Linked DNA regions of Saccharomyces cerevisiae S288C. The gene in region 2 interacts genetically with the main gene of each other region. Each region holds a gene or a part of one and is shown on either strand. Other genes may lie near its edges. The genes, in order: NMD2, PEX29, UPF3 and MDY2.

Region 1 (5,842 bases), on a different chromosome or scaffold from region 2:
TGGTGCTGCATACGCAAAAATTAGGGATGAGAAAGTAGTGAAGGTTGGTGGGACAACAGCCATTGTGGCTCACTTCCCATCTAATGGAAAATTGGAAGTTGCCAACTTGGGTGATTCTTGGTGTGGAGTCTTCAGAGATTCTAAACTTGTATTCCAGACAAAGTTTCAAACTGTTGGATTTAATGCTCCTTACCAATTGTCAATCATTCCAGAAGAAATGTTGAAAGAGGCCGAAAGAAGGGGTAGCAAGTATATTTTAAACACCCCCAGAGACGCTGATGAATATAGCTTCCAATTGAAAAAAAAGGATATTATTATATTGGCTACCGATGGTGTAACCGATAATATTGCCACAGATGATATTGAGCTTTTTCTGAAGGATAACGCTGCGAGAACAAACGATGAGTTACAGCTATTATCCCAGAAGTTTGTGGACAATGTTGTCAGTTTAAGCAAGGACCCCAATTACCCCAGTGTTTTTGCGCAAGAGATTTCTAAGCTAACTGGCAAAAACTACAGCGGTGGTAAAGAAGACGATATAACTGTTGTTGTCGTGAGAGTTGACTAACACTCCGCTCTTTAATCTCCTGGAAAGCAGTGTAAATAAAAATACAGCGTCATAAACGGTACTATATAAACACGTAGCCATTTAATAGAGCCAAACATAAGTGGGCATATATAGTAAAAATTTAAAGAACTATATTCGCAAAAGAATCTCAGTCGAAAGAACGTTTTAAAACAATCTTTTTAATCTTGTTTCGCTCGGTTTTTAGTTTCTCTTCTTCTTCAAGGACATCAGAGACAAATTTCACATCCGTTGGTAATTGTAAAATTCTTGATTGTGTCTTCTTACCGCTTTTAGTCAAGAACGTAAATGCAATCTTCTTTGGCTTGGATAACTCTTCGTAGGTCTCCTTGCTTGAAGAAGGTTCTTCACTCTTTTTTAATAATAAAGGTTTTTGAACGCTGACTGGCTTCGAAATTACTGGAATTTTACTGGCAACAACCTTTTCGCTTTTCCTTGCGTCTATGGATTCTTGCATCATTTTCTGAAATTGCCTTTCCAATTCTTCTTCCGCTTTCCTTTCTTCCTCATCCTTTAGTTTTCTCTCGTACTCTTCATACATTCGTTTCATTTCAATATCTCTGTCTGCGTCAAGATCACCACCATACTCCAAATCAGAGTCGCTGTCTTCTTCTTCTTCATCATCATCATCCTCATCATCATCATCTTCATCATCATCCTCATCGCCTTCTTCTCCATCATCATCATCATCGTCATCGTCATCGTCATCATCCTCGTCATCGTCCTCATCGTCTTCATCTTCACTTTCGTCTTGCTTTGCCTGATGTTTTCCTGGCGCTGACTCTGTGTTCGGTGTACTTATCTCCGCGTCTTCATCTTCTCCTAGTAAATCGACACCATCGTCGTTTTCATCATCTTCATCCTCATCATCTTCGGTGATTGACTCGATAGGAACAGCACTCTCCTTACCGTTGTGAATGCTTGCAGAAGATCCCTTCACTCTGTCGTCTTTACTTTTTATTGCGTTTAATGATTTCAGTAAACTTTCCAACCTTGAGGCACTTTCTACCAAATTTTCTGACCTTTCAAATTTAGTGTTTCCGAAAATATTCTCATATTTTTTAAATGTGCTTGAAACTCTGAATTCTGTTTCCTTGGGTAAAGGTTGTTCTTTAATAAAAGTATAATACTCGAAAAACCTCAGCAAAAGTTTGCATTTCTTAGTAAAAGCTGCAGGGGTCCTGTTGATATTTAACAGAATTGTAGTGACTAGTTGAATCCTGAAATAATTATCCGGTGGATCTGAGTAGTTTAAATAAAATGGATTGGGTTGATTGTTGATATGACCAAACCGAATAATGTGGTAGATAGTATCTAACAAAACATCGGATTTTATCATTTCAAAGTTGAATATTTCAGTTAAGTATCTGACATTTGATATTCTATGCATGTTTTGTCCATAATCGTTAATTTCTAAGCCTCGCTCAATGTTTTCCAGTACTTGGTCTATACATCTGATGACGAAATCGCGGCGGTAACTGTATAGACCGCCTAGAACTTTTGTTAATAAGGGAATATTTTGATAGCTAATCTTATGTGGTTTTGAAAACAGAGAAAACAGCACTTTCTGAATAGCTACATCGTCCCAGTGAGCTTTCCGAACCAACTTGACAATGTGTTTGAAGTCTAGGCTACTTAGTTCACTTCTAATTAATATGCGATAAAACTGTTGTTCAGGCGTTATTGTTTTTACCGTAACATTTAATGATTTTACAGAAGGGGGATAAAGTAAAGTAATTATGTTTTCTAAGGCGCTTTTCATGTTCATGTTCAATTGCCTATCATTTTTTTTATCCTTGATTAGTTGGACCATTTTTTCCATTAATTCCTTATATTCTGGCTTATTTAGCAGAAATTTCCCTGAGTGCTCCAACAAAACCGTCAAAATTTCTACGTTATTTGGAACTTGCATATACATGATTAATGTTCTAATCTTATGAAAAATCATAAACGATGGTATTAATTGAAATTTAATCATTTCACTGAAGAAGATGATGTTTTTAACGTTAATCTTATTAGAATGTAATTGACTCCTGAAGCCATTGTCTAGGTAGTTAATAAACTCAGAAACAATTTCCGGCATATATTTGCTATTTGTTGCAATAAATCTGGAATACACTGGCAGTTTGCTCCAATCTTGTGTTTCCATGAAAAATTTCAATATTCGATTTCTTGTGGCTTTGTTGTCCAAATATGATGACCAATATCTATTTGAAAGGTCATCGATTATATCTTTACAATCTGCCATTTCCAAATCCGTAAAGAATAGATTGATATTTTTTGAGTTAACGTTTGAATCTTTTTCTGTTTTAGAAGATTGTGATTCTTCTACTGTTTTTGAGATATCTGGTAAGATTTCATAAAATTTCCTTGTATCTTCATTTTCCCATAATCGTTGGTTGGGTGGCAATATCTGATTCGTGATCATTGGAGAAGCTGTTTCTTTCAGATCATCATTAGAGGCACCTTCAAGCTCCGGAATTTCTAACTTAAAAAATTCTCCCAAAGTAATTGCAGATGTCTTGAACCTAATGAATATTGGAAGTAACTTGTCGTACTCCTCTACGTACTCATCTCTCAATTTTCCCGTTCTTATTTGGCATTTCTGATGTTCTCTTTGCAGTTTATTGACCTTCTTATGCAGTTCTGTGGCCCTCGCAAAAGTGGCGTCTATAAAATTCTTAAACAGAGACTGTAACGCACCTTTTAACTTCGAGTCATATATTAAATCATCCCAAGAATTATCATCGTCGCGAAACAAAGGTGCAAATTTCTTAATAAATGCGGTCGCAATAGTGGTAGTAAAGCCCAATTTGAACTTATAATTAAGAATCTCTCTGAGAATACTGAATAACAACGGATCCTTTCGCCCAGTTTTCTTCTGTAGGAAGTTTGGAATAGCATCTTTCGACTCAATATCATCCAATGTTCTAAAAACTCCAACTAAATAAAGCTCGGTAAATACCCGAAGATTACCTTTAACTCTGGTTATCCTTTGAAGCTCATCTCTTTCGGATTCAATGTCAACAGAGGGGTTCTCAAAAGCTTGTAAAAAAGCTCCTAAAAGCGGACTAGTAAATCGGCCATTGAACCTTTGATGAAGTCCACTTATGATCTCAACAGCGGCAATTACGTCATCATTTTTATTCAAAACATTTAGCAGACATTCTGTTACCGTCACTATTATCTCTGATAGGTACTTTTCCAAGGACGCCTCACTTAAATCTTTCAATAATGAAGATTCTGAACCTTTCACAAAACCCTTCTTTAGTTTTTTTATAAAGCCAGTGTTTCTCTTTATACTGGAATCCAGTTTTTTACTTTTCAGGGGAAAGACTTCTTCGCCATTCCAAGCTCGGGTGTTCAAATCATGCAATTCTTTTTTCCGTCCATCCTGTTGATACATAATTGTTACCGTAGTTTACAACGATCAATAAAAGAAGTTAGTATAAAACCTTAGAAGTACTGAAAGGCCGATCTGGCCACAGTAAGATAAATCAAACATACGTCCATAATTTCTGTCCAATGTATTATCAATGCAGATACAATATTAGATTATTTAAGCATTTAAGTTGATTGTTACTGTTCATTGTAAAGTAATATGGGCCTCATTAGTTTCTCAAACCTGTATTCGAATGCAGTTTTTCAGTGACTGCCAAGAAAGTGAAAAAAAAAAAAAGAAGCAGGCTCCATCAATTCGTATCAAGTGATAATTATCACATAAATTATATAATTGTAAACCTATTAATAACCCTAATATCATCCTCATGCCCTAAGAAATATTCAATATAACCCCCTAACAATATCATAATATCCCGTAGTGATCATAGAAACGCTATATGATGGTGCATAATTAAGATAAAGGTCATTCAGGCATGAAATAATGAACTTTAGTGAACGACTTAGTCATACAGAGTCTATTTTAGCTTAACCATTCGGTTTTATTTTACAGTCTAGACTCAAACGAGTGAAAAATTGCGATATCTGCGATGACCGAGTCCTGAACAATAAAAATTGACCAGCAGGGAAAGAAAAGGAAAAGATCTCAACTCTGGCGGTTGCCTCCAGGACCTGCACTAGAAAGGACTATTGAGTGTAGACTAAGTGGTGGACGGGATGGAGGCACTTATCGTATTTATAGTGCTTTCCGTATCCGGAGCATTTGCTTACAAATGCTCCTATGAAAGGCTCTGGTTTAAAGTAGGGTCTTTGTTTGACATTATATCAACTTCCTCGAAGAAAAATGTCATTCCGTTGGCAAGCAAAATGGAAGTTGGCTCGAATGAGGATGTGTCTAGTATGGGTAATTTCATAAATAAATTCTACACAGAGTATTCTTTACCCTCACATAAGGTACTGCAATCACTGCGAGTCCTTTTTTCATTAGCAATGATGACGTATACAGTAACCATAGAGATTATTCTATGGCAGATTAAGGTTGCTGGAATGGACAAGGAAGTTACTTTCATAACGACTTGGGTGTGGCCTCTGACTGCAATCATGCTATCCTTCATACTAATTTTATTTCAGCCCTTTTTCATTATAATATCGTTACTGAATAAATTCTACAATGACAAGTTCGATATCGATAGGTTGATAATAGTGACATGCATAATCTTGTCCACACTTATTGCGCTGTTAAGTTACATAAATATTGGACCGTTCCAGTACACAAAAAATATTCTAACTAGATTGTCCATCGGAGGCGTCACAGTCATGGCTTCCCTATCTGGGTTAGCCACTGTTTCTAGTTTATACTACAACTTTTTAGTCATCTGGCACAAGTTTCGTAATACACCAATGTCAGACCCCAGTTTTAGAAACATCAACAACAGCAACAATAACAGTAAATCTCTCTTATGGACAACAGACGCCTATATAGAGGAAAAAATCCAAGATTATGAACACAACATTGAACAAAATGTACAAATATTAAGAAGTTTAGAAGAAGAGGTCGGAGAAAACTCAACTTTTAAAGCAGAGTTGATGGAAAAAATCGCCTGGTATCAACTGGAGCTTGGGAAATTGGAAGCATTATTACAACAGTCCCCTCAGGTACGCACTTTTAAGAAAGCTTTTGAAGTCGGGTTTATCATATACTGTCTTCATAAACTAATAATAACTTTCCTGAAAAGAATCCCCTATATCATATACCACTCGCTCAAATATCCAGATGACTACGATTATGAAAATTTTAGTGAAAATGCAGCATCCGATCCTTTAGCCATTACGATAGCAAATATTTTGGATTTTTCG
Region 2 (4,258 bases):
CGATATCAAATCATGCTGCCAGAACAACTGAAAAGTGGGAAATTTTGCTCCCATTGCGGGTGTGTTTACGTTCCTAATTTTAACGCAAGTCTTCAGTTAACGACTAATACCGAGCAAGGTGACTCCGACGAACTTGGCGGCGAGAGTATGGAAGGACCAAAAAAATGTATCCAGGTTAATTGCTTGAATTGTGAAAAGTCTAAATTGTTTGAGTGGAAATCTGAGTTCGTTGTTCCAACATTTGGACAAGATGTTAGTCCGATGATCAATAGTACCAGCAGCGGGAAGGTTTCGTACGCGGTAAAGAAGCCCCAAAAGAGTAAAACTAGTACTGGTAAGGAGAGATCCAAGAAGAGAAAGTTGAACTCACTTACAAACCTTTTATCGAAAAGAAATCAAGAGAAAAAAATGGAAAAGAAGAAAAGTTCGTCACTGTCATTAGAAAGTTTTATGAAAAGTTGACTGTATCATCAGTGAACATATAGTATAACAAATCAAGTTTATATAGTTGAATTGAGAGTGTCTGTTAGCTCTTCGATTGACGGATAAGATGCATCCGCGTCGATATTGTTGAGATTAGGAATAGTACCGTTTATACTTTCCTCATCAGCGCGGTCATCATCACTACTGTGAGTTAGACCGCCACTCATTGAACCCTTCGTCACGCCATGTACGCCTTGCCTATATGTTTCTTCCCTCAATGGATTAACTACTTCCTCCTCACCAAGGTTTGAAGAAATACCAGAATCCAGTTTTTTCCGCACGCAACTGTTGGTCCACATTCGCCTTCTATATGAGCCCCTTTGTCCATCAAGATTGAGGTCATAGACCCATTTTGTTTCTGAATCTATCTCGACATACTGAATAAATTCGTCCTCTACCCATTCTTTTGGATCCAAATCAAGCACCCAATGAGAATTGGCTTCCCATTCCCAATCCTTAGGTGGCTCAATTTCTTCTAATGACTTCACTGAATTTTCCTCAATACGCCTCTGGTATATTCTCAAACTAGAGAAAAGAGAATAATCGTCATCAGAGAATCCAACTGGGCGCCATTCTTTGTATTCAGGAAGATACTTTTGGATCTCAAAGATCATAACAAGTCGGTGCTCCCTAGCCTCAATGAGTTTCAAATGCTGCAAAATCTTAGATTCCAGATTAGTACTTATAGTCAAAGTTTTTAATCTTGTCTCCTCCGAATTCAATTTAGTCAACAAATATTCACGATTGGACGGATGCGAGGCAATAAAAAAACCCCAACCTAGCAGTATCAGTACGGGTCTCATTGGAATGAGCTTGATAAATTTATCCATGTACAGAAAATTTAATGTTGCTATTATTAACAATACAATAAAATAAAACGACGAAATAGCCTCGTTGGTGAAGAATGCAAACTTTTGTAATATGAGTAAAGTAAAATCGTAGAATTTAACATATAGCAGCATATGGTTTTGTAAATCCGTGAGGTTTAAGACAAATTCTTGGCTCAGTTCAGGGACTGGTTTAGGAACCTCAGGTCTTCGCAAAGGTGGGCCTTGTGCTGGTGTTTGATTATTATCTAGATAGCTTGTAGGGTTTGGCTTATGAATGTAAAGGTATTGCGGGACCATTACGCAGAATAACAAATAGAATATAGGGAGCGAAGAAAGCATTTGAAAAGGTTTCAATATAATGAGCGTGTATAAGAACATGATAGATACTGTATACGCTGGGTTAGTCCAGTTTAATATCTTTATTAATTCATCCATAATCATGAATGGTACCCCTAGTCTCGAGTTCATCTGTATAAAATTCCTACTCGTGATCTGCACAGACAGCTTAGGCCTTTCTTTACCAGCAACCATACGATGGTGAATTGTATCAACAGCCGTTTTGGAAGATGGTGGTAATGCCATTTTGATTATCTTCTCTACCAGGGTATCTGCCATCATCTTTTGGATGTTTGATGTCGAGGGAAAACCGCCACCACTAGTTGGCTGTCCACTGGAAGATGGCAGACTACCACGTGTAGGATCACTAGTTCTAGAACCACTAGATATGCTCTCTTTCTTTGCCTGACTTTTTCCATCTATGCCATTTTGCACTTTCTTCCCCTTGAGAGTTGATCTAGTTGGAGTACCAGCATTATAGGTGTCATTCCAGAAAAAATTTGTCACCGAGTCCATCTAGACGTATATACAGTAGGAGACTGAAATTTTGCTACGTATACAGGTGAGTATATTCATGCGGCCTGATCAGTAATTAAAAATACACACTATTCCTCGTTGTTATTTCTTAAAATTAGTTCAAGAAGAAGGGGTAACCCCTAAGCTTCTTAAGTTCACCACAAAAGTATTACTGGATAGTGAAACAACAACCACCCATAACATTAGTTTCCTAAACACTACGGCGGTATTCACCTAGACGCCATCCTAGAAGGCTACAAAGTGATGCACGTATGATGATATCGGACATTAGAGCGTATACATACAACAGGTACACATAAAATTGTGATATGTCACAGCTTCATCACCCGGCGGACACGTCTATTAAATTATCAATAATTACATAATGTGCAGATCAAATAAACAATAAACATACAGCCATTTAAATTTTGGTTATTAATGTTATTTTTCATTTCTATTGCTTGCAGTGGTATTTATGTGGTATAGTTAAGCCTGCAGGAATATTTAAGCAAAGAGGGAAAATTATGAATAAAGAAGAGCAAGAAGACCCACAGCAAGAGCAAATATCAACTGTTCAGGAAAATGATCCCAGGAATTTGCAGCAACTGGGAATGCTGTTAGTATCTCCAGGGCTTGATGAAGACAGATTGAGTGAGAAAATGATTTCGAAGATCAAAAAATCCAGGGATATCGAAAAAAATCAAAAATTGCTCATATCTAGGCTGTCGCAAAAAGAGGAAGATCATAGTGGTAAGCCTCCTACCATTACGACTTCTCCAGCAGAGAAAACCGTACCCTTTAAGTCGCTGAATCATTCTTTAAAGAGGAAAAGGGTACCTCCAGCGCTAAATTTTTCCGATATACAAGCATCTTCTCATTTGCATGGATCTAAAAGTGCTCCACCAAACATAACAAGATTTCCGCAGCACAAAAATAGCCTTAGGGTCAGATATATGGGTAGGATGGCTCCTACGAATCAAGATTATCATCCTTCAGTGGCCAATTCATATATGACAGCAACCTACCCTTATCCATATACTGGACTGCCACCAGTACCATGCTACCCATATTCTTCAACTCCAACACAAACGCACGCATACGAAGGCTATTATTCCCCGATGTATCCCGGCCCCTTGTATAATAATGGTATAATACCAGCCGACTACCATGCAAAGAGGAAGAAGTTGGCTGGTAGATCACCACACTTGGAAGATTTGACATCGAGAAAAAGAACCTTTGTCTCCAAACACCACAACGGAGACCCAATCATAAGTAAGACTGATGAAGACATTGAATGCTCTGTCACGAAAAATTCATTAAGTGAGGGCGCTTCACTTAACGACGATGCCGATGATGACAACGACAAAGAAAGGATCATTATTGGAGAAATCTCTCTGTATGATGATGTTTTCAAATTTGAAGTTCGCGACGACAAAAATGACTATATGAAAGCATGTGAAACAATCTGGACTGAATGGCATAACTTGAAGAAATGACGAGATTTCACTTCTTCACGCTATAGAATGCACCTAAAACTCGCCTGCACTCCGAAACGAAATGCGATACAGTACGTGTCATGCGGTTAGTATATATACATATATATATATATATATATATTCAAATAAATTATAACGTATTAAATAATATGTGAAAAAAGAGGGAGAGTTAGATAGGATCAGTTGGTCAACTCATGGTAGTATTCGTCATAATGTTGTACTTCACTAGCTATTTCTGTAGCATCAAAATCTGATGTGTGTTTGGTGTCCCTAATCAAATCAGTGACTTCGTTCAGGTTCAATTCTAAAAAGTTTTCTAAGAACTGGCCAACTTCCGTATTTTCGTGATTGCCTTGTAAATTGTTCAAGACATATGACCATGTAGCTTTCTTATTGGCGTATGCATATATGTTGACGTCGACTGCGCTGTGACCATGCGTGGTCCAGCCAATTTGGGCCCTAAATGATACCATGTCATTCAGTTTGTCTTGGATAGCATTTGCGTTGTCATCCAAATGAATTAATGTTTCTAAATCGCTATCCGTGTAATCGTAAATACCCAAATCTTTTTCCAGGATCTCATGTTTGATGAAATTT
Region 3 (3,741 bases), on a different chromosome or scaffold from region 2:
GTTCTTAACGTCTCTTCTACCGTGTTTATTAGACGAAAATCGGATTCACTAAGTGATTCATTTTCTAAATGAGAGTTGATAGACTTGAAGAAAGGAACTAAGTTTGCAAATTTTTCTAAGATACTCTTCAAAGCTGAAAATCTATCGCAGTTACAGGAAAGGATTGAAGTAAGTTCATTGCAGTTAGGTTGTGTATAATTTTGGCAGTATAATAGGAAATCCGATTTTAGGGAGTCGTTTAAGTTAACTTCTTCTATCAAACAGCATATTTTGCCGAGAATAGTAGATGATAAATCAATATGGGAAAAATCTATTAATGAGTCTAACAAAGAGCCTCCTGAATGATTTTCTTTGGCCACAGAAAAGGAAGACAGCATTGATTCAGTAGGAACATTAAACAACGGCTGTAAAAAACAATGAAGTAATTCAGATACTATGCAAGTATGGTACTTTATCTCCCTCACACTCCCGCTATGGAAAGTAAAATTATGACTGTTTCTATTCTCTAGTACCATTGTATAATGGCTTTGAGGCAAAGTTATAGAAATCACCGATTTTTGTAAGCCAGGGTATTTCGAATACAAATTGTTGAGCTGTTCCTGCCAGACACTAATATCTATATCCGTTGTTTTACGTACAAAAATAGATAATGGTAAACCCTTCGAAACTTTGTTGGTATTATCGAACAGTTGCAAAGAAAATAATGATCTTTTTCCAGCCAGTTCTGTAAAATTTACAGAAATAAGATGGGATAAGTCCAAGTTAGACAATTGTGCCCGAATTTCCCTAGAATATTTCAAGTAAAGAGGTTGATTTGATTCCTTACTATCGGATAAATGGATAGTAAAGGGTAATTGTGTATCATTCCTTGATATAGACCTTCTGATCAACTCATCAATTGATTTTGACAACCCTATAATTGACTCCTCTATTATATTGGTAGTTAAAGGAGGGATCCTATGAAATTTTGATAAAAGAGATTTAAAGGACACATTCTCAAAGAAGTTCAGCGGTAAATTTTCTGAGGCTATGACTATGGCTACTAATTGGGAAATAGAAAGGTAATTACTGCTCTGTAATTTTCCTATGTCAAAGCATTTGAAACTTTGGTCGGAATTGAAGGTTAACGAATCATAGCCGTGTCTACGTGTAATTTCTGTGCTGGAAGTATTGTTTTTGAGATTGGAGTCTCCTACTGTGAAATTCATGGAATAGAAGTTTTTATTGGCACTTATATTATGCTTTGTTTTCAAGTGAGATCTAAAGGTTTTTGTCAAACTTGCATCGCTTCTTGTTAGTATCTCTCCACAATGTTTACATTTAACTTTCGTTAATTTCTTTTCAATTGCTAGAAAATGGGACCAGAACTTTGCTATATTCTTCTTGAGCATTTGAACCGGAATCCATATATTTAACCCATCATTTATGATTTCGTCTTCCGGATGAATTCTACTTGATAGGATTTTATTGCCGTCTTTTTCTATAAGTTCTATATCCTCAGTATCGTCTTCTTCCTCGTCTTCCTCCTCATGACTAGTAGAGTGAGAAGATGAATGATCAGAATTATTGATGATTTCGTTATCTTCTAAAGTCACCAAATCCCCATGTAAATCATCCAATGCAGTGTTCATATTAATGATTGAGTAGATTGGTACATATGCTATTTCGGAAGACTTTTGTTATTCTATGGTTTATCATCCCTTTATTTATTTTGTGTATTGTTTGCTGATCAAAAGTTGAAAATTTTTCGCCTAAAAAGTAAGATACAAAAGAAAATATTGTCGATGATTATTGCATGAATATATCAGCAAAGAGGAAAGGAAAACCTACTGAGGGACTTACATTTCTGCTGAAATATATAGTAATCTATCATGAGCAATGTGGCTGGGGAATTGAAGAATAGTGAGGGGAAAAAGAAAGGCAGGGGAAATAGGTATCATAACAAGAACAGAGGAAAAAGTAAGAATGAGACGGTAGATCCTAAAAAGAATGAGAATAAGGTTAATAATGCTACTAATGCTACCCACAACAATAGCAAAGGCAGAAGGAATAACAAGAAAAGGAACAGAGAGTATTATAACTATAAAAGAAAGGCTAGATTGGGTAAATCAACCGAGAATGAAGGATTTAAGCTTGTTATTAGATTGCTACCTCCAAATTTGACTGCAGATGAATTTTTTGCCATCTTACGAGATAATAATAACGATGATGGTGATAAGCAAGATATCCAGGGTAAACTCAAGTACAGTGACTGGTGTTTTTTTGAAGGTCATTATTCTAGTAAAGTATTCAAAAACTCGACATATTCTCGGTGCAATTTCTTGTTCGACAACTTATCAGACTTGGAAAAATGCGCAAATTTCATTAAAACTTGTAAATTCATTGATAATAAGGATAATATTACAATTCCAGATATGAAACTGTCGCCCTACGTAAAGAAATTCACTCAAACATCAAAAAAGGATGCCGCGCTAGTAGGAACAATTGAAGAAGACGAAATTTTTAAAACATTTATGAATTCAATGAAACAGCTGAATGAAAATGACGAGTACTCATTCCAAGATTTTAGCGTATTGAAATCTTTAGAAAAAGAATTCTCAAAAAGCATAGAGTTAGAAAATAAAATAGCAGAAAGAACAGAAAGGGTGTTAACAGAGCTGGTTGGAACTGGTGATAAGGTCAAGAATAAGAACAAAAAGAAGAAAAATAAAAACGCCAAAAAGAAATTCAAAGAAGAGGAAGCATCCGCTAAGATACCAAAGAAAAAACGGAACAGAGGCAAGAAGAAGCGTGAAAATCGTGAAAAAAGCACCATTTCTAAGACCAAGAACAGTAATGTGGTTATTATTGAGGAAGCGGGTAAAGAGGTTTTGAAACAAAGGAAGAAGAAAATGCTTTTGCAAGAGAAGTTAAAAATATCAAACTCCTCTCAGCCTCAGTCATCATCCGCTCAAACCCAGCCGTCGTTCCAACCTAAAGAAAACCTTTTCGTACCACGGGTAAAAATTTTGCATCGTGATGATACCAAGAAGTAGTAAAAGCTCATGGCTTCTTATATATTATATATGGAATACATTTATAATAAAATAATAAGAATTATATATTTTATGATTATATTATTACATAAAGTATTCCCCATTATAAATTCTGAGTTTCGTATTTAATGATTTTTCAATGAATATTTAAAATAATAAAATATATGAAATGTTCATATACAATGAAATTGTCATGAAGAAAGATGACTCCAAGTATCGTTTATAAATCGTCGAGAAAAAGATTATGAAGTTGGTTAACTTTTTAAAAAAGCTGCGCAATGAGCAGGTTACCATAGAACTAAAAAACGGTACCACCGTTTGGGGTACACTGCAGTCGGTATCACCACAAATGAATGCTATCTTAACTGACGTGAAGTTGACCCTACCACAACCCCGACTAAATAAATTGAACAGTAATGGTATTGCGATGGCTAGTCTGTACTTGACTGGAGGACAGCAACCTACTGCAAGTGACAACATAGCAAGTTTGCAATACATAAACATTAGAGGCAATACCATAAGACAGATAATCTTACCTGATTCCTTGAACCTGGATTCACTTTTGGTTGACCAAAAGCAACTTAATTCCCTAAGAAGATCGGGTCAAATTGCAAATGACCCCAGCAAAAAGAGAAGGCGCGATTTTGGTGCACCAGCGAATAAAAGGCCAAGAAGAGGTCTATGATTCGCTGCTGGTGTCGTTGTC
Region 4 (3,144 bases), on a different chromosome or scaffold from region 2:
GACGCTGTGTACGGCAAGTTGGTTTATGAGCTGTTTTGTGGGCGTGGTGCCCATCGAAACGACCCTGAGAATATGGGACTGTTTATTCTATGAAGAGTCTCATTTTTTATTTAAAGTGGCTTTGGGGATACTGAAATTGAGCGAAAGCGAGTTTTTGGAGAGTAAAAGCCAGAAACTGTTTAGACAGTACTCTTCGTACACCTTCGGTGGTAGTAATGACTCTGATTCAACTTTCAAAAGATTAAAGAACAAGATTAAGACGCAGGAAGAGGCAGATATGGAGATTTTGCAAGTGATTCAAAATTTCCCAAAAAGATTGCTCAATCCGAATGATATCTTTGAGAAAGTCCTGATGAAGAAGAAGGTTGCGTTGAATGGTATTACCCAGGAAAAGATTGATCGCGGTAGAGAGTATGTGGCGATGGCGAGAAATAGACAAAGGGCGAGTAGCCGCCCAAAGGAAAGAAGAAAATAGTAAGCGCAACCGTGATAAAAAGCGCAACTGTGTAAAATAACAAGTATGTACGTACTAACTATACTAATCTTATTTGGCCAGAGACCAGCCTTTTTGTAGACGCTCCATGACTTGCCTAACCGCAGCCTGATCGTTCTCGAAATTGTTCTTCAGAAGAGCCTCGATATCATCCCAGGGCACAGTGAGTTCCTGTGGAGGAGCAGGAGCAGGGGAGTTAGTGGATTTCTCGGCTTCGGGTTCCTTAGATATAGTCGGATTCGGCTTAATCATGACTGTGATTGTGGAATTGGCAGGCGTGACCTTCAAATCCGATAAGAACAGGTTATCGTGGAGGACTTTGCCCTTCAAAAGCAGTTTTATCTCGCTTATGTGGGAGGCCTTTTCCTCGCTGATCAAGTGCTGTTTTATTTGTAAGATAGTATCTGATGGGCTGAAATCATGCTCGATGGAGAACTTGGGAGCTTGAATTTTCTTTAAGGTTAAGTGGACGGCGGCGTTGTCTTGACCTTGCTGATCTTGGTGCAGTTTTAACTTCTTGGCACGATTCTGCTTATATTTATACTTCAAAGTAGGCAACGGGACACCCAAATTGGTAACATCCTTCAGAGGTTTAGTATAGCTTTTTGGTAGCTTCGGTTCAGTTAAAGTGGCTAAGGTCAAGAATTTACTAACGAACTCGTGTTCTGGACCGCTGGCGGATGTGCTCATGATTAATTTTGTATAAAGTTATTATTCTTCGCTAGTTTATCTCTGTATCGGTCTGTTCTAACCCTTTTCTCCAACTATGTTCTCCTGTGCATGTTTTCTTCTTTTCGTTTTTCCTTTGTTTTTTTTGGTCGTAGTTGTCGCAAGCTCGGCCTCCGGCCTGATTTTAAAACTATTCCTAATTCAAGATTCGGTAAAAAAGATATATAATAGCTAAGGGGAGGAGAGGAATAAGAGGAAAAAGTTACATTAGAGGACAATACTCAATCTAACCCTTACTAGATGTGCGATAGCCATCAAAAGGAAGAAGATAACGCAAATACGAGCGAAAGGGCGTTATTTTTTAATTACCATGAGTTTTCGTATTCATTCTACGAAGACCTCGGTTCCGAAGACGCTAAACCCACAGAGCACGACGAAGACCACAAATTGTGTATTACACATTTCCCGAATGTGTATGCTGCTCGGGGCTCTGCCGAGTTCCAGGTGACCCGGGTGGTACGAGTGCCCCGGCGGTTCGATGAGTCTCGCAGCAGCCTTGAAACGCCACAATTTAGTACACAGCTTCCCGGTAGCGAGCCGGCGGCAATCGTGGGCGACGATGGCACTAGCTTTGTGCGGTGCGGGCGTTACGACATTGGGGATCACGTGTTTGGCTGCTCCTCCGTCTCGCCTCTGTCAGAATATCTTAGTGCGGCAGAGCTCGCGGAGGTTGTGCACCGGGTAAACGGATTCTTGCTGCGTGAAGAAGGTGAGGTGTTCGGGTGGCGTAACTTAAGTGGCCTGTTGCTCGATATGCTTACGGGCGGTCTGTGGAGCTGGGTTTTGGGGCCCCTTCTTTCTAGACCTGTGTTTCAGGAGTCTCTCGCGTTAGAGCAGTACGTGGCGCAGCTAAACTCGCCGGGAGGTCTGCTTCACGAGCGCGGTGTGCGCCTAGTATTGCCCCGACGGTCCGGGTGCCTATCCCTAGATTTCGTCGTGCCCCGACCCAAATAGTTAAACGTGTGGTTTATGGGTGCACCAGGGCTTTATCGTGTTTTATATCGATGGCGATTTGTGCCTCCAGTGTATTTTTGTATATCCAATTAAGGTTTCTTACCTAATTTTATTTTTATCATCTTTAGTTAATGCTGGTTTGCTCTGTTTCTGCTGCTTTCTGTGCGGTTCTCCTCTTCTCTTGTTTCTTCGTGTTGTCCCCCATCGCCGATGGGCTTATATGGCGTATATATATAGAGCGAGTTTTTACGTCGAAGATCATCTCAGTTTGCTTGATAGCCTTTCTACTTTATTACTTTCGTTTTTAACCTCATTATACTTTAGTTTTCTTTGATCGGTTTTTTTCTCTGTATACTTAAAAGTTCAAATCAAAGAAACATACAAAACTACGTTTATATCAATTAATAATGTCTGAAATTCAAAACAAAGCTGAAACTGCCGCCCAAGATGTCCAACAAAAGTTGGAAGAAACCAAAGAATCTTTGCAAAACAAGGGCCAAGAAGTAAAGGAACAAGCTGAAGCTTCTATCGACAACCTAAAAAATGAAGCTACTCCAGAAGCTGAACAGGTGAAGAAGGAAGAACAAAACATTGCTGATGGTGTCGAACAAAAGAAGACCGAAGCTGCCAACAAAGTTGAAGAAACTAAGAAGCAAGCTTCCGCCGCCGTCAGTGAGAAGAAGGAAACCAAGAAGGAAGGCGGTTTCTTGAAGAAATTGAACCGTAAAATTGCTTCCATTTTCAACTAATCACACTTGAATGTGCTGCACTTTACTAGAAGTTTCTTTTTCTTTTTTTAAAAATAAAAAAAGAGGAGAAAAATGCTGTTTATTCTGACCTTTTACATAAATTTTTCTTAATTGTATCTATCTAATAACTAATCAATATAATAATAATAATACTAATAATAATAATAATAATAATAATAATAGTAGTAGTAGTAGTAGTAGTAATAATGATGATGATGA

What was found.
Region 1: mutations in PEX29 (region 2) and NMD2 together harm fitness more than expected from each alone (negative genetic interaction), as found in Saccharomyces cerevisiae (3 studies listed by BioGRID).
Region 3: mutations in PEX29 (region 2) and UPF3 together harm fitness more than expected from each alone (negative genetic interaction), as found in Saccharomyces cerevisiae (2 studies listed by BioGRID).
Region 4: mutations in PEX29 (region 2) and MDY2 together harm fitness more than expected from each alone (negative genetic interaction), as found in Saccharomyces cerevisiae (3 studies listed by BioGRID).

The regions. Positions count from the first base shown.
Region 1 is NC_001140.6:251,658-257,499, forward strand, and holds NMD2 (Nmd2p), read right to left. Parts: upstream 4,100-5,842; coding exon 4,094-4,099; intron 3,981-4,093; coding exon 717-3,980; downstream 1-716. Other genes in the region: type 2C protein phosphatase PTC7, read left to right, coding at 1-568; YHR078W (uncharacterized protein), read left to right, coding at 4,703-5,842. UniProt on the Saccharomyces cerevisiae protein: Involved in nonsense-mediated decay of mRNAs containing premature stop codons. It interacts, via its C-terminus, with NAM7/UPF1.
Region 2 is NC_001136.10:1,414,710-1,418,967, forward strand, and holds PEX29 (Pex29p), read right to left. Parts: upstream 2,166-4,258; coding exon 501-2,165; downstream 1-500. Other genes in the region: SNM1 (Snm1p), read left to right, coding at 1-462; DIG2 (Dig2p), read left to right, coding at 2,690-3,661; alkaline phosphatase PHO8, read right to left, coding at 3,841-4,258. UniProt on the Saccharomyces cerevisiae protein: Involved in the regulation of peroxisome number, size and distribution.
Region 3 is NC_001139.9:632,433-636,173, forward strand, and holds UPF3 (Upf3p), read left to right. Parts: upstream 1-1,871; coding exon 1,872-3,035; downstream 3,036-3,741. Other genes in the region: ENV11 (Env11p), read right to left, coding at 1-1,631; mRNA splicing protein SMD1, read left to right, coding at 3,280-3,720; U4/U6-U5 snRNP complex subunit PRP38, read right to left, coding at 3,715-3,741. UniProt on the Saccharomyces cerevisiae protein: Involved in nonsense-mediated decay of mRNAs containing premature stop codons.
Region 4 is NC_001147.6:107,714-110,857, forward strand, and holds MDY2 (Mdy2p), read right to left. Parts: upstream 1,184-3,144; coding exon 545-1,183; downstream 1-544. Other genes in the region: Rab GTPase-activating protein MSB4, read left to right, coding at 1-475; SHR5 (Shr5p), read left to right, coding at 1,463-2,176; ZEO1 (Zeo1p), read left to right, coding at 2,584-2,925. UniProt on the Saccharomyces cerevisiae protein: Required for efficient mating. Involved in the production of alpha-factor, the KAR9 and TUB1 location to the shmoo tip and nuclear migration into pheromone-induced shmoos.